4 linked regions of the Anolis sagrei genome follow. The protein of the gene in region 4 interacts with the protein of the main gene of each other region in a pairwise test. Links are inferred from orthologs where the notes say so. Each region holds a gene or a part of one and is shown on either strand. Other genes may lie near its edges. The genes, in order: MAFG, TNNT1, MAFF and NFE2L2.

The links.
Region 1: the proteins of NFE2L2 (region 4) and MAFG interact in binary tests that used the Homo sapiens proteins (3 or more experiments, as listed by UniProt). The link is inferred for Anolis sagrei from reciprocal best matches to the Homo sapiens genes NFE2L2 and MAFG.
Region 2: the proteins of NFE2L2 (region 4) and TNNT1 interact in binary tests that used the Homo sapiens proteins (3 or more experiments, as listed by UniProt). The two-hybrid records come from large-scale screens. The link is inferred for Anolis sagrei from reciprocal best matches to the Homo sapiens genes NFE2L2 and TNNT1.
Region 3: the proteins of NFE2L2 (region 4) and MAFF interact in binary tests that used the Homo sapiens proteins (3 or more experiments, as listed by UniProt). The link is inferred for Anolis sagrei from reciprocal best matches to the Homo sapiens genes NFE2L2 and MAFF.

Annotation. Positions count from the first base shown.
Region 1 is NC_090022.1:113,769,881-113,777,182, forward strand, and holds the start of MAFG (transcription factor MafG), read right to left. Parts: upstream 3,005-7,302; 5' UTR 2,936-3,004; coding exon 2,920-2,935; intron 1-2,919. UniProt on the Homo sapiens protein: Since they lack a putative transactivation domain, the small Mafs behave as transcriptional repressors when they dimerize among themselves.
Region 2 is NC_090026.1:20,229,283-20,236,314, forward strand, and holds the start of TNNT1 (troponin T, slow skeletal muscle), read left to right. Parts: upstream 1-4,006; 5' UTR 4,007-4,027; intron 4,028-7,032. UniProt on the Homo sapiens protein: Troponin T is the tropomyosin-binding subunit of troponin, the thin filament regulatory complex which confers calcium-sensitivity to striated muscle actomyosin ATPase activity.
Region 3 is NC_090025.1:164,302,923-164,309,786, forward strand, and holds the start of MAFF (transcription factor MafF), read right to left. Parts: upstream 3,017-6,864; 5' UTR 2,933-3,016; intron 1-2,932. UniProt on the Homo sapiens protein: Since they lack a putative transactivation domain, the small Mafs behave as transcriptional repressors when they dimerize among themselves.
Region 4 is NC_090021.1:190,489,160-190,496,536, forward strand, and holds the start of NFE2L2 (nuclear factor erythroid 2-related factor 2), read left to right. Parts: upstream 1-4,355; 5' UTR 4,356-4,636; coding exon 4,637-4,657; intron 4,658-7,377.

The sequences.
Region 1 (7,302 bases), on a different chromosome or scaffold from region 4:
CAGCCTCAACACATTTCGCCAGGACTCAAAAGGCCTGCACTCAGCACAAGCACCGCCAATTCTTCGCTCACAACAGAGCTGACAGAGAGTGCATGATTCAACACAGGCCCCATTCTCAACATTCCTGGTTCACAGAGCAGTGCCATCAAACGAGTGTAAACATGGTGACGTCATCCATTCCAGCAGTAAAGACAGCCCATCACCGGAGGCCCAGCTGTAAGGGATAAAGAGGGCGGCAGGACGGGAGCAAGGGGGGACCAGGAGCTGGATGACAGCCCACAGTGGGAGGCTTCCCAACAGGTGTAGGACAAAAAGTCTCCCTAACATAACCCTGTATTTCTTTAAAAGCACATAGCCACTGACATCCATTTAAAGGAAGGTATCAAACTGAGCTTCCAAATTATCCTTCAGAAATATAGTGATCCCTTTGTCAAGAGTTCTAACCTGGGAAAGGAATATGAACTCAATGATATCCAGTAAGACTTTCAGAGCTGTATGGTCACCAGAAAATCTTATCCCCTCCAAGAAGACATGACTCCCCTGTACAGTGTATTTATATACTAAGTGCTTCACCATTGCTTTTGCTGTGAGCGTGCCTCTTAGTCAGCAGAACTGGTGGGATGGGGACCTAAATTAGTTGTTCCTACATGACCTTAGACTGAGATGCCAGCCTCATTACTTAACATCACTAAGCTAAGCATACAATCAAAATGAAATAGAACTTCATTCATTTCCCTGTTTCTTTGAATTCTTGCTTCAAGCCCTGACACATCAATTTTGTTTCCCATTTGTCATAAACACCTTATGGCAACACGAGATGTGGAGCCAACCTTAAGAAATTGGGCTACAAAGTAGAGTCCATGACATGCAAGTGGGGAGAAGAGCAAACCACAGACCACTTACTACAGTGCAGCCTGAGCCCTGCCACATGCACAATGGAGGACCTTCTTACAGCCACACCAGAGGCACTCCAAGTGGCCAGCTTCTGGTCAAAGGAAATCTAGCATAATGCCAAGCTTTTAACTTTGTTTGTGGCATTTTATACATTATAAATGTATTCTCAATTTGCTTCTGACACAATAAATAAAATATATAAATACCTCACGTTATTTCACTTATCTAAACAGAGGGAAAACTGTCCACATTGCAGTATTTTAGATACAAAAATTGGAAGACTTTTGCACATCACCCCTTCAAGACCGGCAGTATGATCTCTATACCACACAATCCCAACATGCAGTAAAGGGTACAACACTACCCAATGCTTCCTCCAAGAAATGCAATGTTGTAGGTAGGTTGTTTTGTTTTTAAATCAAGTCTGCCTCCTAACTATCTTGACTCAATTTATCCCTGTTTATGATGCCCCCTATAATATTTTTTAAAAATCAATTTTCAAGACAGGAATAGATATGCAAATGACACAGATCTGTTATAGGAATACCAAGTTTCACCTACTCTGCAGTCTAAATCAGGCAACTTTCCAGAGCCCTCCTAACTTACTGTTTTAAATCCATAGGTTGGGACAGGCATGGACAAACTTCGGCCTTCCAGATGTGTTGGACTTCAACTCCCACAATTCATGACAGCCGGTAAGTTGGCTGGGATTTCTGGGAGTTGAAGTCCAAAACACCTGGAGAGCCGAAGTTTGCCCATGCCTGGGTCAGAAGCATATTAAACCAAGATGGCTAGCTGCTTTTACCAGAAAACATCCCATGCAAACACATCTGGAGCACAAGATAGACACTGACCATTCTGTCCACCCACCAACTGGCAGAGGACAGGCTGCCCTCCGGAGTCGTGGCTGCAGGTGACGATGACAGGCTCCAGCCAGGTTTGCTATGGGAAATGTCCCACTAGGGATGCAGGTCCCTTCCACACAGCTGAATAAAATTCCACATTATCTGCTTTGAGCTGGAATATATGGCAGGATGGACTTGGATGACCCAATTCAGAGCAGATATTGGGATTTTCTACCTTGCTATTCTGGGTTACTTGGCTGTGTGGAAGGTCCCTCAGATAAACCCGTTCCAAGCAGATATTGGGGGGTGTCTGCCTTGATACTCTGTGTTATATGGCTCTGTGGAAGGTCCCTCAGTAGAGGACAACATGCACTTGTTGCACAGATGTGCTCCATCCTACAAATCTCTAGATGAAAGCCCTCCCTGCCATTTCAGTGTGACACAATACCAACCTCTTTCACAGGGCCCTTGTCTAACAGCAGAGACAGAAGTAGTCCTTCCCATAAAGCTGTCCTTTTTCTTCAGGACCAAAGCCAATAAAAACAGAAGAACCATGGAGACGAGGTGCTTAGGGCAACATGTAAACTGCCTGGCCCAAAATGGCCCGTAAAACTGTCCAGGTGAAAGTATATAAAACAATAATGTCTGCTACAGATGGCAGCACAGAATGACTATGTTAGCGACAGCATTTGACAACATCAACAGAATGATACAAGACAGGAGTAACTACCGTACGGACAGAGACATAAAAAGGCATGATTCCCACTCCTTGGGAAAGGCTCAGAGTCTCTGTTCCCAGTAAAAAAGACAGCGGAGGATAGGCTGCTGTCAAAAACAACCCAATGTGTGCCTGACCCACCTTAAGCACCCACAAGTTTTCAGAAAAGGATCTCTTGCCAAAAGTTCTGCCAAATACCCCTTCTCCGCTTGGTCATCGTCATGGGCACCCTTCTGTCCTGCCAGGCTGCGCTTCTCCCAACACACTCAATGCAGCCAAAGCAAAGGGGGGGGAAAGGGAATCTCAGGTGCTCCCCTTTTCCCACCCAAACTTGGCACTCTTCTCTGCCAGGAGATGAATCAGCAGGTCAGGTCTCTTCTGCAGCTGACCTATGGCAGCCCCCTCCCCCAAACTACAGCCAGACCCCCTTCCTTTTTGTGTATGTGTATATGCAGCATTTACCTAGTGGTGACCTCATGTTGATGAGTCAGCAATGTCACCCAGCAAGGCTCAAAGGCGGGAGGTGGTGCAAGGGGGTGAGAGAGCCCCCTCCCCTTGATCCTCATGCCCTCCCCTCAAATCCTCACTCACAGGCACAGGCTGCTCCCCCTGCCTCCCCCCCCCCCCACAGACACCTGATGAGTCAGCACCACAAGCCCTTCCACTCTGCCAGACATGGCTGCACAAGGGAGAGGGAGAGGGAGAGAGGGAGAAGGAGGAGACGGCCAGCCTGCAGGCAGCCTCTCCCCTCCTCTGCCCCAAGGAAAGGAAGGGAAGGAGCGGGCACACACTCTCGAATAATAACAACAACAACGATCACCCAAGGACTGGCTGGGGAAGGGGAGGGTCAACTACTTTTTCCTCCCCGCCGCAACTCAACAACAAAAGAGATCCGGGAGGAAACGGGGGAGCATTTCTAGCAAGGAGAAGCTGGAGGGGGAGAAAACAAACCAGGGCAGGCTTCTCCCACGCCGCGAGGAAAAGGAAAGAAAGGCAGAGGCAGAGGGAGGGGGAGACAAGGGAAGCCCACCCACCTGTCAGAGACAAGGCGAGGCGCAGCAGCAGCAGCAGCAGGAGCAGGAGGAGGAAGGAGAGGCCGCCTCCCGCTCACCTGGGCCCACACCTGGAAACCCGCGGGAAAGGGAAAGGAAAAGGTGGGGGGGGGGGGATGCAAGGGTGGCCTTCCCGGAAGCACACGGACCCAGGAGGGAAACTCCACGCAAGACTACATGGCGAAGGAGGGAAGGAGCCCCCTCCCCAGCACGCGCGCACAGGGCACACACCGCGCGCGCGGCCTCTCCTGCCCCGCTGCCTCTTTCTTCCTCCACGCACACACACACACACACACACGCAGGCAGGCAGGCAGGCTCCCTCCGTCTTTCCCTTCAAAGGCCGGGAGGAGGGGAGGGGGCCCCGGCCTCTCTCTCTCCCTCGCTCACCCTCCGCTCGCTCGCTCGGTGCCGCCGGGGAAGGGGAGGGCCGGGCCGGGGCGGGGACGGGGAGGCCGCCACGCCGCTCAGAGGGACCGAGAGTCCGGGGCCCGCCGCCGCCACCGCTGCTCACGGACGCGTCACGTGATGTTTGGGTCACGTGCCTCCATTCATGAAGCCAGTCGGTGCAGCCGCCCAGGGGAGGGATGGATAGAGGTAGGGATGGATGGATGTAAAGACTCGCTCCGGGAATCATAGAGTTGGGCAAGCGCCGCGTGCAGGGGCCGCCCAGCCCCAACCCCAGTCGCCCTCGCAGGGACAGCACAGTCAAAGCAGCCCCGACAGGTGGCCAGCCAGCCTCCCCACACCATTCACAGTGGTCCTGGCATATGATGTTTTTCAAGTTTCATAGAATCATAGAGTTGGAAGAGACCTCGTGGGCCATCCAGTCCAATCCCCAATTGCATTCAAAGCACCCCCGACAGATAGCCACCCAGCCTCTATTTAAAAAACCTCCAAGGATGAAGCCTCCACCACACTCCGGGGCACAGAGTTCCACTGCTGAACAGCTCTTACGCTCAGGAAGTTCTTCCTAATGTTCAGGTGGGATCTTCTCTCCTGTCATATAAACCAGTTGCTCCACATACTGGTTTCCAGGGCAGCAGAAAACAAGCCTGCTCCCTCTTCCTTGTAATAATAATATTTATTATTATTATTATTATTATTATTATTATCCCCAGGATACCACTCTTGGAGGACCATCATCCTCGGACTACGAGGGATCACCTAAGTAAAGTAAAAGTATTATTATTATTACCTACTCCCTCTTTCTTGTATTATTATTATTATTATTATTATTAGAGGATTAAAAGATAAAACTGCAAAGACTCTGGCACAAGCCAGTAAAGGTGGTCTCAGTGGTGATCAGTACACTGGGTGCAGTGCCTAAAGACCTTGGCCTGCATTAAAAAACAATCTGCGCTGACAAAATTACCTTCTGTCAGCTGCAAAAGGCCACCCTACTCAGATTGGCATGCATTATTCGCCGTTACATCACACAGTCCTAGACATTTGGGAAGTGTCTGGCATGTGATCAAATATAAAGGCCAGCATAGTGAACTTGTTTGCTGTGTACTTATCTTGTTATGTATCAAATAATAATATTTTTATTCTTATATCCTGCCACCATCTCCCCGAAGGGACTCAGGGCAGCTTACATGGGGACCAAGCCCAGCATAGACAAAGATTACAAGGTAACACAATTAAAAACATTTAACAATAACCAGAACAATAAAACATTATAAAAATGACAACCTTTTACATATTTATACATGGCCATTGTGTCTCCTCTCAATCTTCTCTTCTGCAGGCTAAACATACCCAGTTCTTTAAGGATTCATGGTCTCTAGGCCTTTAGTTTTAGTCGCCCTCCTCTGGACACCTTCCAGCTTCTCTTTTGAACTGTGGTGTCCAGCATTGGACAGAGTCTTCCAGATGAGGTCTGACTAAAGCTGAATACAAAGGCACAGTGACTTCCCTCAGTCTAGACACTAAACTCCTGTTGATGCAGCCCAGAATCCCATTGGCTTTTTAAGATGCTGATTACACTGTTGGCTCATGTCCAACTTGTTGTCTATGAAGACTCCAAGATCTTTCTCACATTTTGTATTGTTGCATTTCATTTTTTTCTGCCCAAGTGTAGTATCTTACATTTGTCCTTGTTGAAATTCATTTTGTTAGTTTTGACCCTTCTCTCTAATCTGTTAAAGTCATTTTGAATTCTGATCGTGTCCTCTGGAGTATTAGCTATCCCTCCTAATTTGTTGTCATCTGCAAACTTGATAAGCACGCCCTCTAAACCTTCATCCAAGTCATTAATGACTATATTGAACAGTACTGGGCCCAGGACCGTACCCTACGGCACTCCACTAGTCACTTCTTTCCAGGATGAAGAGGAACCATTGGGGAGCACTCTTTGGGTTCACTCACTTAACCAATTACAAATCCACCTAGTAGTAGTATTGCCTAGCCCACATTTGATTTGTTTGCTTGTATGAAGTTCATAGCAGAATTTGACGAAGGCCTTACTGAAATCAAGATATAATACATCCACAGCATTCCCAGTATCTACCAAGATTGTAACTCTATTGAAAAACGAGATAAGATTAGTCTGACATGACTGGTTTTTGAGAAATCCATGTTGTTGTTTTTATTAATTACAGCATTCCTTTCTAAGTGATTGTAGGCTTCTTCCTTAATAATCTGCTCCAGACTCTTTCCTGGTATTGATGTCAGGCTGACTGGACGGTAATTGTTTAAATCCTCTTTTTGTCCCTTCTTGAAGATAGGGACAATATTTGCCCTCCTCCAGTCTGCATTTCTCCAGTTCTCCAAGAATTCTCAAAGATTATTGCCCGTGGTTCTGAAATGACTTCTGCTAGTTCTTACAATACCCTTGGACATAGTTCATCTGTCCCCGGAGACTTGAATTCATTTAGAGTAGCCAGGTATTCCTAAACTACTTGCTTACCTATTTTGGGTTGCATTTCCCCTATTACCTCTTCAGCTTCGTACTGGTCAGGTTGAACACCAGTCTCCTTTTGGGAGAAGGCTGAGGCAAAAGGGGTGTTTGGCCATATAAAACTATAACTAAAGGCCATATAAAACTATAACTCCCAGGACTTCATATAATTGAGCCATGGCAGTTAAAGTGGGGTTAAAATCACATTAATTTGATGCATCAATTAGCATTTATATTGTAGAATTAATGCAGTTTGGGCTCCTAGCCTGAGCTCTGGCAGTAGGTTATGGATTAGGCAGACCCCTTGCTGCTACTTGGCTGCTTAAGCCCTTTGGCGACAAAATGGAAACTGCATTGGCTTTGAAGCATTTGGACATGTACACACAAATACCCCAAAATATAAGGCTCAACATATAAAGGCCAATTAAGAGTTTGCATTCTTCATTATACACAAAGGTGGACAGGAAAAGTGATTTAAAGATGGGCTCAAAGCCAACCTTAAAATCTCTGGCATAGACACTGAGAACTGGGAAGCCCTGGCCCTTGAGCGCTCCAGCTGGAAGTCAGCTGTGACCAGCAGTGCTGCAGAATTTGAAGAGGCACGAATGGAGGGTGAAAGAGAGAAACGTGCCAAGAGGAAGGTCGTCAAGCCAGCCCCGACCGGGACCGCCTTCCACTTGGAAACCAATGCCTTCACTGCGAGAGAAGATGCAGATCAAGAACAGGGCTCCACAGCCACCTACAGTCTCACAAGAATTCTGATCCTGGAAGACTATCCTACTCGGCCAACGAGGGATTGCCTAAGTAAAAGTAAGTAAGTAGTATGCACAAAGAAACACACTTCTGAAGTGAATGAGAGATTTCCCCACACCTGTACAGTGGACCCCATGGAGA
Region 2 (7,032 bases), on a different chromosome or scaffold from region 4:
GCAGGGTGAGCTCCCGTTGTTAGCCCCAGCTTCTGCAGTTTGAAAAAATGCAAATGTGTGTAGATCAATAGGTATGGCTCCGGCAGGAAGGTAATGGCACTCCATACAGTCATGCTGGCCACATGACCTTAGAGGTGTCTATGGACAAGGCTGGCTCTTCAGCTTAGAAATGGAGATGAGCACCAACCCCCAGATTTGGACACCTTTACCATTTACCTAGTTAGCCAATACTGGACTCTGATGCTGGGTGAAAAGGTGTTCCTGATGTAGAGTGCAACAGTATGCCCTTTCCACAAAAGCATGAACTGTCATTTCTTTTCTTCCAGGTGAAAAACAGAATCTGTCATCATGTCTGAGGAAGAAGTTGAGTATGAGGAGTAAGTAACACCAACTCTGGACCATGGTCACAAATGTGTGGTAATGAAAGCACCCACACATATTTCATATTTTTTGGTGGGGGAGGTATTCAAGCAAGCTGAAATATCAATTTGCTTTCTCTGAGAATCCACTTACAGATACAATTAGATCCAGAGAGGTTAGAATAATGGGGTGAATTATTCCATCTACGTCATATTTTACATATTCACAGACTTGCCAGACATAAGATTCAAATGGCTCCTTCAATGTAGATTCCAATAATCACATTTGAAAGTAGAGGCATTTGAAACTGCAGCTTTGAATTTTGAAACTGGGCCCAGTTTTAAGTGTTATGGTTTCAAGGACATCTGGGGAAATTCAACCAAAATGTATGAAATTGACCCAAACAGTTGAACAGGGATGGTGAAGTGACATGGCCTCTCCATTTCTCCCATTTTTCTGAATGTTCAGCATACTTGCATTGACACTAATTACACGGTGTTTACTGTGCAGAAAAGAAAATTACTTTTGCTAGGCATAACCCATTATTAGCTATCAATTCCTTTGTCCCCCTGTAACAGTGCTCCAACTAAATTATAGTATTTCTGTAATTTATTAAGTTTTTCCAGTGTTAATTATGACTGATAGAATCATTAAATGATAGAACTGGAATGGATCAAATCTAGCCCAACACCTTGCCATATACAACTAGAGCCCTCTACAAAAGTGCCCATCCAGTCTTGGTTTTAAGACCTTCATGAGAGTTCACCATTCTTCAAGAGTCCTATTTCACATTTGGAAAGCCCTTATGGCAAAGAAGTTCTTCTTAATGTATAGGTATTTGAAGTTCTTCTTAATGTATATGTCATTTGAATCCACTGGTTTGTATTCCAGATGCAGGAACAAGCTCACTCTGAAACCATTGGCTCTGTAGTTTGGTGAGCCACTAGAGCTCTCTACAGAATAATTCTAAATTCCCTCCCTACAGTGCGGATTCCAGAAATCCATAGGATGTTGCCATGGCAGTTAAAGTGAATGTGTAGTTCTATTTATTTATTTTTCGTGTCAGGAGCAACCAGACAGTTGTATTACATTTTTAACAAAACAGACAGACAGACAGACAAAACACAAAGTTTGCAAGCTTGATTGATTAAATGTCCTTTAACCAGTATCTGGCCACTTGGAGTGCCTCTGGTGTTGCTGCAAGAAGGTCCTCCATTGTGCATATAGCCAGGCTCAGGTTGCATTGCAGCAGGTGGCCAGTGGTTTGCTCTTCTCCACACTTGCATGTCATAGATTCCACTTTGTAGCCCCATTTCTTAAGATTGGCTCCGCATCTTGTGGTGCCAGAGCGCAGTCTGTTCAGCGCCTTCCAAGTCACCCAGTCTTCTGTGTGCCCAGGGGGGAATCTCTCATTTGGTATCAGCCATTGATTGAGGTTCTGGGTTTGAGCCTGCCACTTTTGGACTCTTGCTTGCTGGGGTGTCCCAGCAAGTGTCTCTGTAGATCTTAGAAAACTATTATTTGATTTAAGTCGTTGACATGCTGGCTGATACCCAAACAAGGGATGAGCTGGGGATGTCACTGCCTTGGTCCTTTCACTATTGGCTGCTACTTCCCGGGAGATGTCAGGTGGTGCAATACCGGCTAGACCAGGGGTCCTCAAACTAAGGCCCGAGGGACGGATACGGCCCTCCAAGATCATTTACCCGGCCCTCGCTCAGGGTCAAACTAAGACTGAAATGACTTGAAAGCACACAACAACAATTATCTATGTCATCAGCCAAAAGCAGGCTCACACTTCCCACTAAAATACTAATAAGTTTATATTTGTTAAAAAAAATTCTTCATTTTAATTATTGTATTGTTTTTAAGTGTTTTTTGCACTCCAAATAAGATATGTGCAGTGTGCATAAGAATTCATTCGTGTTTTTTCAAATGATAATCCGGCCCTCCAACAGTTTGAGGGACCGTGACCTGGCCCTCTGTTTAAAAAGTTTGAGGACCCCTGGGCTAGACAGTGTAATTTCTCCAGTGGTGTAGGGCGCAGACACCCCATGATAATGCGGCATGTCTCATTAAGAGCCACATCCACTGTTTTAGCGTGGTGAGATGTGTTCCACACTGGGCATGCATAGTCAGCAACAGAGTAGCATAGCGCAAGGGCAGATGTCTTCACTGTGTCTGGTTGTGATCCCCAGGTTGTGCCAGTCAGCTTTCGTATGATATTGTTTCTAGCACCCACTTTTTGCTTGATATTCAGGCAGTGCTTCTTGTAGGTCAGAGCACGGTCCAGAGTGAATCCCAGGTATTTGGGTGTAGTTCTATATCTGTACAGTGTTAAATAGTCTCAATTTGCAGAAAACATAGGAGTAGCAATGATGGGAAGACATGCAACAACCATGCTGCTCTGAGTATTGTGGAGAGAAAAAGTGAGGTATAAAAAAACATAAACATAACAACAACAACAACAACAACAACAACAACAACAGTTCCTCAGTGGTCTAGGTACCGTTCATGGGTCATCTACTTAGGAACAGGTCCTTAAAGGAGACATAAATGCAGCATGTTGGAAATATTCAAGTCTGTTTGACTGCCATTGCTCCCATCCTATAAAACTTCAATGATGGAATCAAGGGTTTTATTTACCAAAACAATTCTCTGACTTTTAGAGTAAGCAAACCATGGCCATTGATTGACTGTGGGCATACTCATACTATATCATGGTTATATTATATAGTATAAGTATGTCCACATATTTGGGTCAACACTGAAGGATGGATGCACTAATGTATATATCCATTTCTTTCTCTTACTTTCTCTTTCTCTTCTCCTGCCAATCCCGTTTTCCACACACCAGGGAGCAGCAGGAAGGTAAGGGATATCTATCTAAGCCATCTGTTTTTGCTCATTATCAATTCCAGGTGCTGGTTTCCAGCTTATTTTTAAAAAATTTAAACATCACCAAACTTCATCAAACTGGCACCTTCTGAAATGGGGAAAACTACAGCCCCCATAATCCCTGACAGCATGGCCATTTAGCTGATGGAGAAATTGGCCAACACATCTGACGGTCGCCAATTTGAAGAAGGCTGGTGCACTCCGTATTATCTGTGGATTGATAGTTGTAACCAATTATCAGTTGGTTATTTTCCCATGTTGACGTTCTGAAAGGTCTGAATGAAAGTTGTCATTGTTATTTGCTTCTTTCCTCTAAACTTAGCCTAATCTACCTCTGTTTAAGCTTTAATGGTGTAGATTTTTTTGCCAGGTATTTTTGCACATGACAATATCAACTTGATCAAACAAAAAGCCATGGTATTCTTTTTCACACCTGTGATCATTATTGTTTTCTCCATCTTCGTGGAGGCCCAGCAACAGTGGAGGCTCAACTTACTTCGCTCTTCTGGACTTTCCATTGTTTCTGATTTAATTTAAGAGCTATTGTCCGCACGATAGGCAAATAAAAGTCTTAAAGACCAACTTATCTTTGGGAACATTCCTCCTATTTAGATTTGTTCTCAGAGGCGGCCAGCAACATTAAGTGATTGGGAAAAAACCTGTACTTTTATCCATATTCATTTGAGCTACATTTTGACATGAAACTAAGAATCCCTCTTTCTCTCTTTCTCTCTGTTTCTTAAAGAAGAGGAACAACCTGAAGAAGAAGGTGAGAAGACCTCATCTGTTTATCCCTCTATCCCAAGTATTTCCATTTCTTTCTTTTTTTCCAGGCTTGTGGCAAACAGAAATCCAGCTGGAATCAAATAGATTAAGGAAGTGGTTTCGTCATAGAAAACCAGGGTCTCTTTCACACTTCATAGTTATTGCATTCTGGTATTACCTTAACTGCTGTGCCTGAATCCTAAGGAACAAGATTCGTTGTTTGGTGAGGCACTATAGCTCTCTTCTCTCATAACAAGGGAAATCTTAGGATACAAGAAATGGACAGTGGGCTATCACAGTGTAGCAAGAAAGAAACTCTGGATACCTACTCCCCAAACAACCTGGTTTCTAAGTACAGTAGAGTCTCGCTTATCCAACATAAATGGACCAGCAGAGCACTGGATAAGTGAAAATGTTGGATAATAAGGAGGGATTAAGGAAAAGCCAATTAAACATCAAATTACATCATGATTTTACAAAGCACCAAAACATCGTGTTTTGCAACAAATCGGCAGAAAAAGCAGTTCAATACACGATAACATTATGTGATAATTACTGTATTTACTAATTTAGCACCAAAACCTTGCAATGTATTGAAACAGCTGTGGATCTGGGAAGGGGGGGGGGCAGACTGCGTTGGATAATACAGAACATTGGAGGAGCGAAGGTTGGATAAGCAAGACTCTACTGTAGTTCTTCTCCCCAAAGAGAATGAGGCCAAGGGAGCAAAAAGCAGGTTTACATTTATGGCATGGAGGTGTATTCATTTTGGTTGGAACTGGTTAGATCTGGCTTTACTCTTCAGGTCTTTTATAGTTCTTTCATTTCCTCAAATTTCTCCCTTCTGGTTTTCAGCTTGAGGAGAATCATAGAAATGCACATGCTCTTATATTCCTGGATTTTCCTTTGAACTGATCGAGTATCACTGACATTGTCTGACTTGGTGTACTACAATTCCCACAACTCCTAGAATTGGACAAGGACGTTGAGAGTTGTTTTCTCAAAACAACTAGAGGGGACTAGGTTGGGGAAGAGTATACTGTGTTATGAAGGTAAAGATAAAGATCTCCCCTGACATTACGTCTGGTGGTGTCCGACTCTGTGGAGTGGTGCTGAGCTCCATTTCTAAGCCAAAGAGCCAGCATTGTCCATAGACACTTCCAAGGTCATGTGGCACCACCAGAGGGTCCATTCTGTGTATTAACTTGGTCCAATATGTGTTCAGACTCTTTTATGTTTATGACCAGCATTCCATCTCTTAGGTGCTTGAAGAAGGTCCTTCACCGATGTAACATCATTTTTCCTTTTTTCCTTTAACCAGGTTTCACACCATGGTCATGGTGGTTTGTTTCGCCTTTCAGTCATAACCAAGCTTTTCTTCTCTTGACCTTTTTTCCCCAATCTCAATATCTACCCACAGAACAGATGTGTGTCTTATATCCATTCTGAGTAATGTGCATTATTTTTTTATTGAAAACACAGTCCAAATGTGGCATTGGTTTCCAATTTTAAACCCCCTCCAACACAGCCCCTATTGGGTGATTCTTCACTACCACCATTTAAGAGAAGAGAACCCCCAGTGGCACAATGGGTTACACCCTTGTGCTGGTAAGACTGCTGACTGATAAGTCAGCAGTTCAAATCTAAGGAGAGTGGGTTGAGCTCCTTCTGTCAGCTCCAGCTGCCCATGCAGGGACATGGGAGAAGCCTAACACTAGGATGGTAATACATCAAACAACCGGGCGTTCCCTGGGCAATGTCCTTGCAGACAACCAATTCTCTCACACCAGAAGCGACTTGTAGTTTCTCAAGACACTCATGACACACAAAAAATTAAGAGAATGAGGAATAAAAGGCATGAAACTTGTTGTGCCTCTTGGAGGCAAGGAAAAGAATAATAACACCATACAAGCATGCAACCAAATCACTCTCTATGAATGGAGAAAGGGGAAAAAGCTGAGCAGAGCATTCTTCTTTTCAAGGATAAGACCTGTTATGGTTTCTTTCCATTCTTCTGCTCCCCAGAACCAGGGTTGAAGTGGTGGGTGGGCTTCCTTCTCATTGGCTAACAAGTGTTTTTAATTTCCCTGTCCCCCTTTACCCCCATCCTGTAGCTCAGTCTCCCCAACTCTTCTACCCATCAGATGTTTTGGATTATAGGTCCCATCAGCCACAGACAGCATGGCGATGGGACTTGTAGCCCAAAGACACAACTGGAGGGTAATGGGTTGGGGATGGCTGTTGTAGATGCCTTTTTCTAACTGCATTTTCCTTTCTTTCCTGGATTTGGTCCTTCCCCTACAACCTCCTTCTCTCTTCTCCTCCTACCTCTCCCGACTTTGCCTCTGTTCCTCCCCCCACATCCTGTCCCTGTGATGTGTGTTGGTTGCAGTGACTGAAGAACCTGAGCCAGCTCCTGAGCCAGGTATATAACTCTCCTTCGCTCCGTCCTTCGTGGGGTGGGGGGCCAACCCAGGAGGAAGACACAAGTAGAAGAAGAAGGCAGCGAAGAAGACAAATCACATTGCTCTGCCTTGACTCAAGACAAGACATACCCTCCAACATTTCCCACACAGAAAGAGAATGCATGTGACCAAATAGCTTCAAAGTGCTGCACATGTTTACTGATGAAGCACACAGGAATTTGCTTTAGCCTGGACCTACTGGAAAAGGCAATATTCTGCCCCTCATCTCTTTGGTGCAAACTACTTTGGCACTTTGGACTGAGTTTTCCTGGCTGTATGGCCATGTTCTAAAAGCACTCTCTCCTGACGTTTCACCCACATCTATAGCAGGTATCCTCAGAGGTTGTGAGGTCTGTTGGAAACTAGGCAAGTGGGGTTTCTATATCTGTAGAGTGTCCAGGGTGGGAGAAAGAACTCTTGTCTATTTGAGGTAGGTGTGAATGTTGTAATTGGCCAGCTTGAGGTCAGTTTCCAACAGACCTCATAACCTCTGAGAATGCCTGCTATAGATGTGGGTGAAATGTCAGGAGAGACTGCTTCTGGA
Region 3 (6,864 bases), on a different chromosome or scaffold from region 4:
GGTGACCTGGACAGGTGATACATGTATTACACATGAAACAGGCAAAAACAACCAAATGCTCCAAGATTTCCAGCACGTTTTGGCCTAAAGGGATTATTTTTGTTGTTGCTGTTCATGCCTTCTAGTCATTTGCAATTTATAGTGACCCAAAGGCACCCTATCACAGTTTTATTGGCAAGATTGGTTTAGAAGGGTTTGCTGTCTCCGTCCTGTTGAGGCTGCATCTCGCTCTGGCACCACGAGATGCAGAGCTCACCTTAAAAAATGGGGCTACAACGTGGAGTCCGTGACATGCGAGTGTGGAGAAGAGCAAAGCACAGACCACCTACTACAATGCAACCTGAGCCCTGCCACATGCACAATGGAGGACCTTCTCACAGCGACACCAGAGGCACTCCAAGTGACCAGTTTCTGGTCAAAGGACATTTAGTATGATGCCAAATTTTTAACTTTGTGGTTTTTCTACACAGTGTACCATCAATCTGCTTCTGATACAATAAATAAAAATCTATACTGGCGTCAATGCAGTTTCACACCTTGTTAACTGTCATAGCTCAAACTACAGACCCTGGGATGCACAACAGAAGTTGGCTGTGTGTAGCTACAAGTCCCAGGATTCCATAGCATTTCACCATGGCAGTTAATGTAGTGTCAAACTGCATTAATTCTACAGTGTAGAGGCGCCCTAAGACTCAACAAAATGGGTTTCTACACGCTACTAGGGATTTGAATCCTGGTCTCCAACTAAACCACAATATCATGCTGGATTCCTTCCTGAACCCCAACTATGACAATTAGTTATGACTCCAAAACAAAGAAACTAGTGGCCCATCCAATTTGCTTCCAGAGAGAAAAATTTGGACCCCCAGGACTTTAGACATTAAGTGTGGCTTTTTAAAACACAGTAGACTCTCGGTTAACCAAAATTCAAGTAACCAGAGATCTTAAACAACTGGCAAAAAAATCAAAGAAATAATAAATTTAATATGTATATATTTTTGCCTGAAATTTTATTTTTAGTTGAGATAAATTTGCTTTAAATTGCTGCATTTCATTAATAATATCAGGTCAAGACAAGGGTTTATGGTATAGTACGTATTATTTTTATTTATAATAGCAAATCCCAAGCAACTAGAGAATCCATTTATCCGGCTTCTATCAATCCCCGTAAGCACCTGTTAACTGAGGATGCATCTATATATTGTACAATTAGTGCAGTTTGATACCTTTTTATCTGCCATGGCTTAATGTTATGTAATAATAATAATAATAATAATAATAATATACATCACACAGTCCTAGACGCTTGGGAAGTTTGACTTGTGATTTTGTGATACGAAATCCAGCATATAGATCTCGTTTGCTGTGCCATACTGTGATTTTGTGTCAGTAAAATAATAATAATAATAATAATAATAATAATAAATACTTTCTTTATGAAATAAAGGGATCTGAAGCTGTTAGGAATGGTGGGAGTTGGAGTCCAAAACACCTGGAGGGCCCAAGTTGGCCTATGTATGTGCTATCTCGACCTACTAATTTGCATATGGTTTCTGATTGGCCAGTCTCAAAATTCTAACATTTTTAAGCAGCTGAAGGGGAAAATAAAGTGTTCTGAGGCTGCTAGGATTGCTGGAAGTTGTAGTCCAAAACACCTTGAGGACCCAAGTTGACCCATGCATAAGCTACCTCGACCTACTAATTTGTATATAGTTTCTGATTGGCCAGTCTCAACATTCTGACATTCTTAAGCGGCTGAAGGGGAAAATAAAGGGGTCTGAGTCTGTTAGGAATAGTGGGAGTTGTAGTCCAAAACACCTGGAGGGCCCAAGTTGGCTCATGCATGAGCTATTTCGACCTACTAATTTGTATATGGTTTCTGATTGGCCAGTCTCAACATTCTGACATTCTTAAGCGGCTGAAGGGGAAAATAATGGGGTCTGAGGCTGTTAGGAATAGTGGGAGTTGGTAGTCCAAAACACCTGGAGGGCCCAAATTTGTTTGGGCCTGATATAGATCCATTCTTTGGGCAGAAATAGATCCTGTGTGAAGGCATTTCCCTATTGGGTTCCCCCTCCCATTAAAGGAGGGATGGATGTCAGAACCCAAGAGAGGGAAGGAAGGGAAACCCAAATGCCATAATCAAAGCCCTCCTGACAGATGCTCGTCTGAGAATCCTTTAGACCAGTGGTTCTCAACCTGTGGGTCCCCAGATGTTTTGGCCTTCAACTCCCAGAAATCCTAACAGCCTGTAAACTGGCTGGGATTTCTGGGAGTTGAAGGCCAAAACATCTGGGGACCCACAGATTGAGAACCACTGCTTTAGACCAGGCATGGGCAAACGGTGTTTTGGACTCCAACTCCCACCATTCCTCACAGCCTCAGGCCCTTTCCTTTCCCCCCTCAGCCGCTAACCTTATAAGCCCCCCCATTAAACCCCAGTTTGAAACTGGAGCCAGCTAGGACTCCATGTGACCCAGGCCTCAACACGTGCACCCACATGGTGAACAGGAGCCATGAGTAACTCCTCTGTTATTATGCGATTTCCTGCTCTATTTTTATGTTTGTTTGTGAATGCAGCACCCTCGAGACACCAGTGGGGAAAGGCTGGAGGGAAAGGGAACCGAGTGGATTTTGGGAAGATCCAAGGAAACAACAATAAGCAACAACAATCTAAATAAATACATCTTATTTCAAAACGCCCCGGATTGGAACAAGGGAAGGAAACCACCCCCAGCCACTCCTCAAAACACAAGACATTTTCTCGCCTCTCTCTGCCATCCTGATCCAACCAAAGGGCAGAAATATTATTTTTAGATATTTTCCAGGCTCTCTCTTGCTCTCCTCATGGTCTAGCAAAAGGCATTGGGGTTAAAAGTCCCTCCTGCTGTAACTTTCCTTCCCTTCCAGAGTGACAAACCAATCTACTCACTTCTTTTGTTGACTTGTCCTCCTCCTCCTTCCTCGTTGCCCTCCTCTGCCTCCTTTTCCCCCTTCTGGGCTCTCCTGGTTTGTTTCTGTAAATAAATAACAACCAAAAAACCCCAAAAATCGCGAAGTGGATGTTTTCCCCGCGACGAGAAAGGGCTGAGCTGGGCTGCGCGCTGAGCGATCTGCTGAGTTGTAATATGAGTTTCCTGGAATTACTCACTCACAGGATTCTTTTCATTCATAAAAACACAGTCATGCGATGACATCATTCTTTCCCCTCCCTCCCCATCTTAGTGAAGGGCACGGGCGGAGCAGAGGGCAAAGGCAGGCGCCATCTTGGAGCCGGGCATGGGGGTTCTTAAAGGGACACGCACCTCGAGGTTGTGCGGCTGGGGCTGGTATTGCTTCCCATCTTCAGCACCATCCACACAACTGAATAAAATCCCACATTATCTGCTTTGAACTGGGATATAAGGCAGTGTGGACAGTTTGACACTACTTCAATCGCTATGGCTCATGAGGATTGTAGCTTGGTAAAGGAATGGCACTTTTTTGGCAGAGACAGCTTAAAACCTTGTAAAACTACAGCTTCCATGCTTTTGTAGCATTGAGGCATGGTTGTTAAAGTGGTGACAAATTGGGTTAATTCTACAGCTTAAGGAGCTGGGCACGTTTAGCCTGAAGAAGAGAAGGCTGAGAGGGGATATGATAGCCATGTATAAATATGTGAGAGGAAGCCACAGGGAGGAGGGAGCAAGCTTGTTTTCTGCTTCCTTGGAGACTAGGACGCGGAACAATGGCTTCAAACTACAAGAGAGGAGATTCCATCTGAACATTAGGAAGAACTTCCTGACTGTGAGAGCCGTTCAGCAGTGGAACTCTCTGCCCCGGAGTGTGGTGGAGGCTCCTTCTTTGGAAGCTTTTAAGCAGAGGCTGGATGGCCATCTGTCAGGGGTGATTTGAATGCAATATTCCTGCTTCTTGGCAGGGGGTTGGACTGGATGGCCCTTGAGGTCTCTTCCAACTCTTTGATTCTATGATTCTACAGTGTAGATGCACCCAGAGACGGCCCTAGGTAATTTTCAACAGGAAGCAAACAGTATTTTGCCCCCCCCCCCCCCCCCAACCAATCACTGATATATATTTTCTGTTCGTCGTGGGAGTTCTGTGTGCCATATTTGGTTCAATTCCATCATTGGTGGAGTTCAGAATGCTCTTTGATTGTAGGTGAACTATACATCCCAGTAACTACAACTCGCATATGTCAAGGTCTATTTTCCCCCAAGAGCACCTCAAGAGCGCCCCTGGGCAAAATCAGCTATGCTGCAAATGCTTACTTTGCATAATGGGTTGAGCCGCCCCTGGATGCACCTTCAATCTTAAACTGCTGTACTTGCAACAACAGTTTAAAAACGTAGTTTGGTGAGTCACCAAACTCTTCAGTAGAGAAGCCTAAGGCCCTTGTGAAACTACATTTCTCAGGATTCCGTAGCATTGAACCATGGCAGTTAAAGTGGTGTCAAACTGTATTAATTCTACAATGGAGATGCATCCATAGTTCAAAATGACACACATAATATAAATAAAAGGCATGTTTAATGTAAGTTCTAGGCATGTAATTCTGGTTACTGGGCACTGACCCAAAATGGCATGTGGATGTTGCTCTTCTGGAACATTTACATGCCCAAGCTTTGATAAGCAATAAGGAAAAGGAAGTTTAAGTCCCATGTTCTTGCTGTTCCCAAGAACTTGGTATATGAATTATATTGTCAAGATTGAAGTGGCATGTAAACAGTACATCAAAGGAAGGGCGAAAGAAACTGCATATTTGCATAAAATTTGCACATTCAAAAGCATAAATATTTACATAGGTGGACCACAGTGGGGAGAAATGGTGAGTAGGTGACTTATGTACTTGCTGTCCAGATGTTAGTTGCCGGTGCGCAATTTCGGGGCTCTGCTGGCTGCCCCTGGCTAACAAATGCACACCTTGTAGCTGGACTGCATCTGCTCTGTAGAATTAATGCAGCCTGACACTACTTTACAAGGCCTTTAGCCTTCTCTGCAAAATAATGTCACCAAATCCCAGGACTCCATAGCATTGAGCTCTGATAGTTAAGTGGTGTCTACCTGCATTAGCTCTATAGCAGGCATGGACAAACTTCGGCCCTCCAGGTGTTTTGGAAATAAGTATTTTTATCCACACACACACACACACGTAATTTTATTATAATAAATATGTACTACAAACACATTTACTAACAATTACAATTGAGACATACTTAATTTTGCAGTATTTACAATGTTTGCAATATTTACATTTTCAAAATCATTTGTTACAAAACCAGTTACAATATTTCTTCACATTTTTTCTTTCTTCTTTGGTTTCAATTACAAATACAGTTATAGTTACAAACACAATTGCAAATTCACACATATATATCTCAATTAATATATATCAAACTTTTCAAAAATGTTGAAGTCCAGATGTGTTGGACTTCAACTCCCACAATTCCTTACAGCTGGTCCAAAACACCCGGAGGGCCGAAGTTTGCCCATGCCTGCTCTGTAGTATAAAGACACTCTTGTGTGTGTCATATATATATATATATATATATATATTCAACATATCCTAGATGTTTTGGATTCCAGGTCCCAAAACCTCTAACCACCGTGCAAAGCAATAAGGATGATAGGCACTGTAGTCCCAAACACCTCCAGGGCCAATCGTTCCACACCCGTAAAATAAAGAGCACCTTCAAAGGGAAGAGTATTCATTGTCTTCCATAAAGTAGGACACATAACTACCATCATCAAAATAAAGACGTCATTCACAGTGCATGTATTTATTTACTTTTCATATTTATGTCCCAGATTATGTGTGGGCAATCCCATCACTTTCATGAACTTTTCTTAGGCAAGGAATACTCAGAGATGGTTTTGCCACTTCCTTCCTGAAATATCGCATACAGCACCTAGTATTAGTTAATGGTCTCCCATCCAAGTACTAACCAGGACTAAGCCTGCTTAGCTTCCAAGATCAGATGGGATCCGGCACCTTTAGGGTTGTAGATGATATGTCTGAGGAGGAAACTAACAAAGCCACCTCCAAGTATTCCTTGCTTAGGAAAATCCTATAAAATGCATGGGGTTGCCAGAAATCTACAGGTGACACAAAGTGTCCAAGGACATATTAGGGTGCATCTAAACTAGACATGGGCAAACGTGGGCCCTTCAGGTGTTTTGGACTTCAACTCCCACAATTCCTAACAGCCAGTAGTCTGTTAGGAAATGTGGGAGTTGAAGTCCAAAACACCTGGAGGGCCCAAGTTTGCCTATGTCTGATCTACCTATAGAATTAATGCAGTTTGACCCCACTTTACTTGCCATGATTCAATGCTGTGGAATCCTGGGTTTTGTAGTTTGGTGAAGCTCCAGCGCTATTCCTCAGGAAAGGCTGAAAGACCACGTAAAACTACAACTCCTAGTGCTCCATAACATTTAAAGTGTTGTCAAAGTGGATTAATTATACAGTGTAGATGTACCCCAATATAGTTCTCAGAGACTCCTTGAGCAACAGTCCACTATTTAGATTCAAGAATGGCATCAGTGGCAATCTTGGTAGACATCTAGTCTCCCATACTTTTGCACCCAGGTCTGGACAGCCCTAGAAAATACCTGGTTTGAAACTGGCCTAGCTGGTTCTCTTGACTGATACTAAGCAGGCCAGGTAGTGTGTGTGTGTGTGTGTGTGTGTGTGTGTGTGTATATATATATATATATATATATATATATATATATATATATCCTCAAAGCTCAGCTTCCCTCTTACACAATAGCAACATGCCTTCTCAAATGGGACTGCAGTGTGGAAATGAGTAGTAGCTTAACTAGCTGGTCTAAAAAGAGCCACAGTTACAGCCCTGCTGAGCT
Region 4 (7,377 bases):
TCCTCAGCTGCAACAGAGTAATATTAAATCCTTGTGTTTTGAAACATATTTACGCAGTTGTAGGAATGGGATAGAGAACATATAGTATGATCCCTTATTTACATATTCCACCTGTCAGAGCTGTTCAACAGTGGAACTCTCTGCTTGGGAGTGTGGTGTACACTCCTTCCTTGGAAGGTTTTAAACACAGGCTAACTAGATGGCCCATGGGGTTGCTTCCAACTCTATTATCCAATTATTCAATGTTCAACAGTCATGGTTTCACTTAAGTAAAGGTAAAGGTTTCCCCTGACATTGTCTAGTCGTGTCCAACTCTGGGGGTTGGTGCTCATCTCAATTTCTAAGCTGAAGGGCCAGCGTTGTCCATAGACACTTCCAAGGTCATGTGGCCAGCATGACTGCATTACTCATGCTCTAAAATATATTCCTCCCAAACAGTGTTTCTGGGCCTTGGCATGTCCACAAACATTTTTGCAGTGATTCCAAACAATTAATTTGTACCATAATAATAATAATAATAATAATAATAATAATAATAATAAGAGGCCGGAGAAATCCCAAGGTGTAGATAAATCAATAGAGAAATGGATCTGTTCTTCCTGTTTAAAAACAAAACAAAACAAACTTTTATTGGGTGTCATAGCTACAACGGCAATAGGTTTTACAAAGATCAGTTTCACTCTACTCAGTAAAAACATGAATGATAAGCATAGAAGTAGAATTTAAACAAATATGTGAAAGGTTAAAGATAACAGAAATAAAGGATTTTGATTATATATATATGTGTGTGTGTGTGTGTGTGTGTGTGTGTGTGTAAGTAGAGTGCATAGAAGGTTTTATATGAACACAAAGCATATTCACATAATTGTCGAAGGCTTTCATGGTTGTAATCACTGGGTTGCTGTGAGTTTTCTGGGCTGTATGGCCATATTCCAGAAGCATTTTCTCCTGACGTTTCACCCACGTCTGTGGCAGGCATCCTCAGAGGTTGTGAGGTGTGTTGGAAACAACACACCTCACAAGTAGGGTTTCCAACAGAGCCTAGTTTCCAATGCTGTAAATAAATAAATGAAAAAAAAACCCCAAATACTTTTGTGACCTTATGTAATAAAATGCAGCTACCAAATTGAACAGCAGGTATCATTGGCTTTTTTTTTTAAAAAAAAAACAACAACAATATGGGGTATGCATTAACTGGTGTGTCACATTTGTGGCGTAATGTAAAATAAACCACGTGTAGTTCACGTTTGATCAGCCCACACACAGCCTTGCCAGAGAAAGAAAATATGCCACGCAGGTGAACAGTAAAGAACAAGTAGTTTACTCTTCTTAGTTGAGAACAATATATATAAAATGTGATCAGTTGCATTAACTTACATAAAGTCCTTTTTATGAGAGACTAGCTTGAGGACCCAGGTTATTTGAGAAAGGCATTATTTGTCTGTGCTCCAAGTTTAGTCTAGATCCAATGTTGACTGGGTTCAGTGGGTGTGGGTGAACTACAACTCCCATATGTAAGTCCCATTGTCTGTGGTCCATCCTCTTCCAAACGAAACCAGGATGTAGAGTGGATCATGGGCGCTCTGTGTGTCAGGTTTGGTCTTGATCAGTCATTGGTGTGAGTTGCAGTGGCTTCAGGAAGTGTGTGAAGGTACTGCAAGTCCCATCGTCCATGGTCTGTCATCCCACAGACTATACCAGACATAAAGTGGGTCATGGAGACTCTGTGTGCCATGTTTGGTTTTGATCTGTCACTGGTGTGGGTCACAATGTTCTCTGGAAGTTAGTGAAGGTACTATAAGTCCCATCATCCATGGTCCTGCCTCCTCCAAACCATGCCAGGATGTAAAGTGGGTCATAGGGGTTCTGTGTGCCAAATTTGGTCCAGTTTTGTCATTTGTGGGCATCGCAGTGGAGTGGGGGAGGTATATTGAATGAGGATACTGCAAATCCCATCATCTGTGGTTGGGTCCCCTGCCAAACTGCACCAGGACATTAAGTGGGCCACATTGGGTCTGTGTGCCAAGTTTAGCCCAGGCTCATCATTCCTGGAGGTTGTAGTGATATCTGGAAGTAAGTGAAGGTACTGCAAATCCAATCATCCATGGCCCATCCTCCTCCAAACTGCACCAGGATGTAAAGTGGGTCATGCATGCCAAATTTGGTCCAGGTCAGTTATTTGTGGAGGTTGCATTCGCCTGTGGAATTGGCAGCCAATCTGAAAGCTGCCACATACACTGCCTGCCGCACACATACAAACACTGCCTTTTATTATATACATAGATTTGAATGGTCTTTCTCGGTCCATGTGGATAAACTCCTTCAGCAGCTCATGAAGCGAGAGTACGCTCCAAACTGCTTCTCTCTTCAAACTGTTTCTCTCTGCACTTGCATAGCTAAAGCCTGAACAAAAATGTAACAGTAGCCAAAAGTCCCAGGCTTAGCCATTTCCTTGGGCATTGCCCGACGAATGAGCTTCATCTTATTTTACAGTTGACACACACAGACTCACTGATTCCTTGCATGCTCCAACAACATTGTCTGCAGATTAGTGGATATGAATGTTCCTTGATGGAAGAATTACTTTCAGGTGACATGTATAGACTGTATATGAAACAGAAATGTCATTGTTAGACTTGAGTCCCATCTGTAGTGCGGCACAGTGGTTTGAGTGTTGAACAATGGGTTTCAATCCCCACTGTGCCATGAAAACCAACTGGGTAAGTCAGAGAAAAAACTCAGGATGGGTTGCTGCAAGTAAGAATTGACTTGAAGGCACACAACAGTAACCGATCTCCATGATGTACAGTTGGCCTTCCATATCCATGGATTCTGCCTCAATGGATTCCACACCATTCACAGATGGGAAATATTTATTTATGATATATATGCTGCCTTTCTCACCCCAAAGAAGACTTAGAGCGGCTTACAAGATATATATACATAAGGTAAAGGTTTTCCCCTGACATTAAATCCAGTCGTGTCCGACTCTGGGGGTCGGTGCTCATCTCCATTTCTAAGCTGAAGAGCTGGCATTGTCCACAGATACCTCTAAGGTCATGTGGCCGGCATGACTGCACGGTGCGCCATTTACCTTCCCGACGGAGCGTTATCTATTGATCTACCCACGTTTGCATGTTTTCGAACTGCTAGGTTGGCAGAAGCTGGGGCTGACAGCAGAAGCTGATGCCACTCCCCAGATTCGAACCTGCGACCTTTTGGTCAACAAGCTCAGCAGCTCAGTGCCTTAACCCACTATGCCACCGGGTAATATATTATTAGCATAGTACAATATCAATATTAAATATTATTATAGTGTACTATTCCATTATATTGTGATATTACTAGTAATATTACATGTAATATAAACATATAATTATGTTTATTAGTATTATATTTCATTACATAATATTATATGTATATACAATATATTATATTATTAGCCTAGCACAGGAGACAAGGTGGAACTGTCTTCTGCTCCCCTCTCTCTTCACTCTGGCCCAGAGCAGCAGTTATTTCTTGGGGGGGGGGGGGGGGGGGGAGGGGTCCCCAACTGATGACATATTTATTTATCTACTATATTTGTATACTGCTTTTCTCAGCCCTCGGGCGACTCAAAGTGGTTAACAATAGCAAAATTCAATGCTCAGAACACCATAAAACAGTTAAAAACAATTAAAACAGTAGCATATTAAACACAATCATGCAGGAGACAAGGTGGAACTGTCCCCTGGCCACCTCTCTCTTCACTCGGGCCCAGAGCGTCTACACCAGGCCTGGGCAAGCTTGGGCCCTCCAGGTGTTTTGGACTTCAACTCCCACAATTCCACCAGCTATTAGGAATTGTGAGAGTTGGAAGTCCAAAACACCTGGAGGGCCCAACTTTGCCCAGGCCTGGTCTACACTGTGAGGTTAATTCAATTTGACCCCACTTTAACTGCCGCGGCTGTTAGGAATTGTGGGAGTTGAAGTCCAAAACACCTGGAGGGCCCAAGCCTGGCCTACACGGTGAAGTTCATGGAGTTTGACTTCACTTTAACTGCTGCTGCTGTTAGGAATTGTAGGAGTTGAAGTCCAAAACACCTGGAGGGCCCAAGTTTGCCCAGGCCTGGTCTACACTGTGAGGTTAATTTAGTTTGACCCCACTTTAACCGCCATGGCTCAATGCTATGGGATGTTGGCCCTTTTGCAAGGGTTTGAGCCTTCTCTGCTCCCTGAACTGCGACTCCGAGGATTCCACAGCACTGAGGCAGTTAAAGCGGTGCCAAAGTGGGTTTATCCTCCAGTGTGGACCAACCGCGAGGGCCTCCCGGCTCGGCCCCTCCTTCTCCGGGGGGAGGGAGGGAGGGAGAAAGGGAGAGAAGGCGGGGCAGGCGGCTGGTGGTTTCCCGGCAGGGAGGACGGACGGAGGGCGAGCAGAGCGGGACAGGGACAGCGGAGGAGAAGCAGGAGGAGGAGAAGGCTGTGTCGGCGTCACCGCCGGAGAGAGGCAGCTAAAGCGTCCCGTCCAGAAAAGGAAGAGCCTCAGTCCGCTTGATTCGTTAGGCGGCGAAGCCTCTCTCTCACTCTCCCTTTCTCCCCCCCCCCCCCCCGCACCCGGCGTGGAACCCGTTGCGTCATCGCCAGTGACGTCACCATGGAGGTCGAGATGCCGCAGGTGAGGCTCACTTTAGGGGTACTTGGATCCCCTTCCCCAGGAGGGGCGGGGCAGAGAGAGACCTCCGTGCGGGAGGAAAGGGGGCGGGGTTAAGGATAGGCCACGCCCCCTCGATTGCTGCGATCGCCACAGCGGTCCAAGCCGGTGTTATTTTTTTTCCTTTTTCTAAGCCACGCCCCTCTAGGCCGTGACGTCACAGCCAGGCTCGAATGCGCTGACTCACTGGCTCTTCGGTCGGCCTTGACAAGAGGAAGGGGCCCTGTTTTGGTTTGGAAACGAGGGAGTTGTAGTTTGGAGAAGTACCAGCACTCTTGGGCAGAGAAGGGCAAAGAAAAGCCAGAAGTCCTATAACTATGTAGAATGGATCAATAAGAGTTAAAGTGGTGTCAAAAGTGCATTCATTCTACAGTGTAGATCAGGCCTGAGCAAACTCTGGCCTTCCAGGTGTTTTGGACTTCAACTCCCACAATTCCTAGCAGTCCAAAACACCTGGAAGACCAGAGTTTGCCCTAGCTGCTGGGAATTGTGGGAGTTGAAGTTCAAAACACCTGGAAGGCCAGAGTTTGTCCAGGCCTGGTGGAGATGCGCCCTGGATCTGTTTTTCTTGTTGCTTCACCACTTTGTTTTCCCACATCTGGATCTATTATATACATATAATAATAATAATAATAATAATAATAATAATAATAATATGGAGCCCCCGGTGGCACAGTGGGTTAAACCCCTGTGCTGGCAGGACTGAAGACTGACAGGTCACATGTTCGAATCTGAGGAGAGGCCGATGAGCTCCCTCTATCAGCTCCAGCTCCTCATGCCGGGACATGAGAGAAGCCTCCCACAAGGATGATAAAAACATCAAATCATCCCCTGGGCAACGTCCTTGCAGACGGCCAATTCTCTCACACCAGAAGCAACTTGCAGTTTCTCAAGTCGCTCCTGACACAACAGCAATAATAATAATAATAATAATAATAATAATAATAGTAATAAACTTTATTTATACCCCCCAACCATCTCCTCAAAGGGGACTCGGGGTGGCTAACATGAGGCCAAGCCCAAAAATACAATACAGCAAAAAGTAAAATACAGACTGCAGACAATCAAAATTGCATCAGAATAAAATATGTATAGTAGCAAAAATAACATAAATAAAGCAAATTAGCACAGTATAAAATTGAAACAAAATGGACAGGCCAAATGAACGAGATAAAATGATAAAACCCTGGATGGGGTAGGAATAAAATATGTGATTGAGGGAAACCCAAAAGGATAATAAATAAATGCACAAAAAGATTGCAAAATGTGCAGTCTAGTAAGATATTTAGACTGTTACTGAAAGGAGGCAGACTTTCCATGGAGCTGCTGCTACTTTTTCAATACGTTCATAAAGCAGCAAATTCTTTACCTTTGTGCTTAGAAGGAATTATCACTTTTAGGTAACAGGGCTGTGCCCTTCATTTGCTTTCCGGTAATAATATGGGGCTGTGATGATGCAATGAGTTAAAGTGCTAAGCTGCTGAACTTACTGATTGGAAGGTCAGCGGTTCGAATCCGCAGGACGGGGTGAGCTCTGTTAGCCCCAGCTTCCAACCTAGCAGTTCGGAAAAACATGCAAATGTGAGTAGATCACTAGGTACCATGTCAGCGGGAAGGTAATGGTGCTCCATGCAGTCATGCTGGCCACATGACCTTGGAGGTGTCTAAGGACAGCATCAGCTCTTCGGCTTAGAAATGGAGATGAGCACCAACCCCCCAGACTTAATGTCAAGGGGAAACCTTTACTTTTACTAATATTACTAAAAATAAGAAAGCATAGGCACTTTGGTGGCACATGAATCCACTTAAAATCCAGTTTCTGCCTCCTGCAGAATGCTGGGGTTTGTAGTTTAGGGAGGATCCTTTAACAGCCTCACTAAACTACAAACCCCAGCATTCTGCAGGAGGCAGATACCGGATTTTAAGTGGATTCATTCTCAAGTGTGATGAAGAGTAGAGGGTGCATCCACATTGTAGAATTAATACTATATGACAGCACTTTAACTGCCATTGCTCCAGACTATGGAATCACGATAGTTGCAGTTTGACAAGGTCTTTAGCCTTCTCTGCCAACAGGAAATAGCCTCTCATATTTAGAACAATAATGTACATAATGGCTTTCATCTGATGTCAGTAGTCTACAGAGCCATGTGGAATATTTGCGGGTCTCTCACCAAACTACAGCTCCCAGGATACCATAGCATTGAGAGCCATGGCAGTTAAAGGATCAAACTGCATTAGTGCTACACTTTGCTATCATCACAGGGCCCTTCCACACAGCCATATAACCCAGAATATCAAGGCAGAAAATCTCACAATATCTTCTTTGAATTTGGTTATCTGAGTCCACACTGCCATGTATCCCAGTTCAAAGAAGACAATGTGGGATTTTATTCAGCTCTGTGGAAGGGCCCACAGTTTCCCCCCTCCATTCTTTTTGTGGGGGAGTTGATCTACTGGATTTCTCCCCTTCAGCCAGTCTCACCTCCCACTCTTTTGGTGACTTCCCCAATCTGCTTGAGCAACTTTTTGGAGGGACGGAAGAGCTTGCAAAACCCAACTTTGTCCAACAGTGTTCTTTTTATGGTATGCCTGAATCCAGCATCATACAAACGGCAATAAAATAGTGTTGTAAACCATGGAGACTACAAAAGCCTTCATCTGTTGCTAAAGTGGTAAAAGTT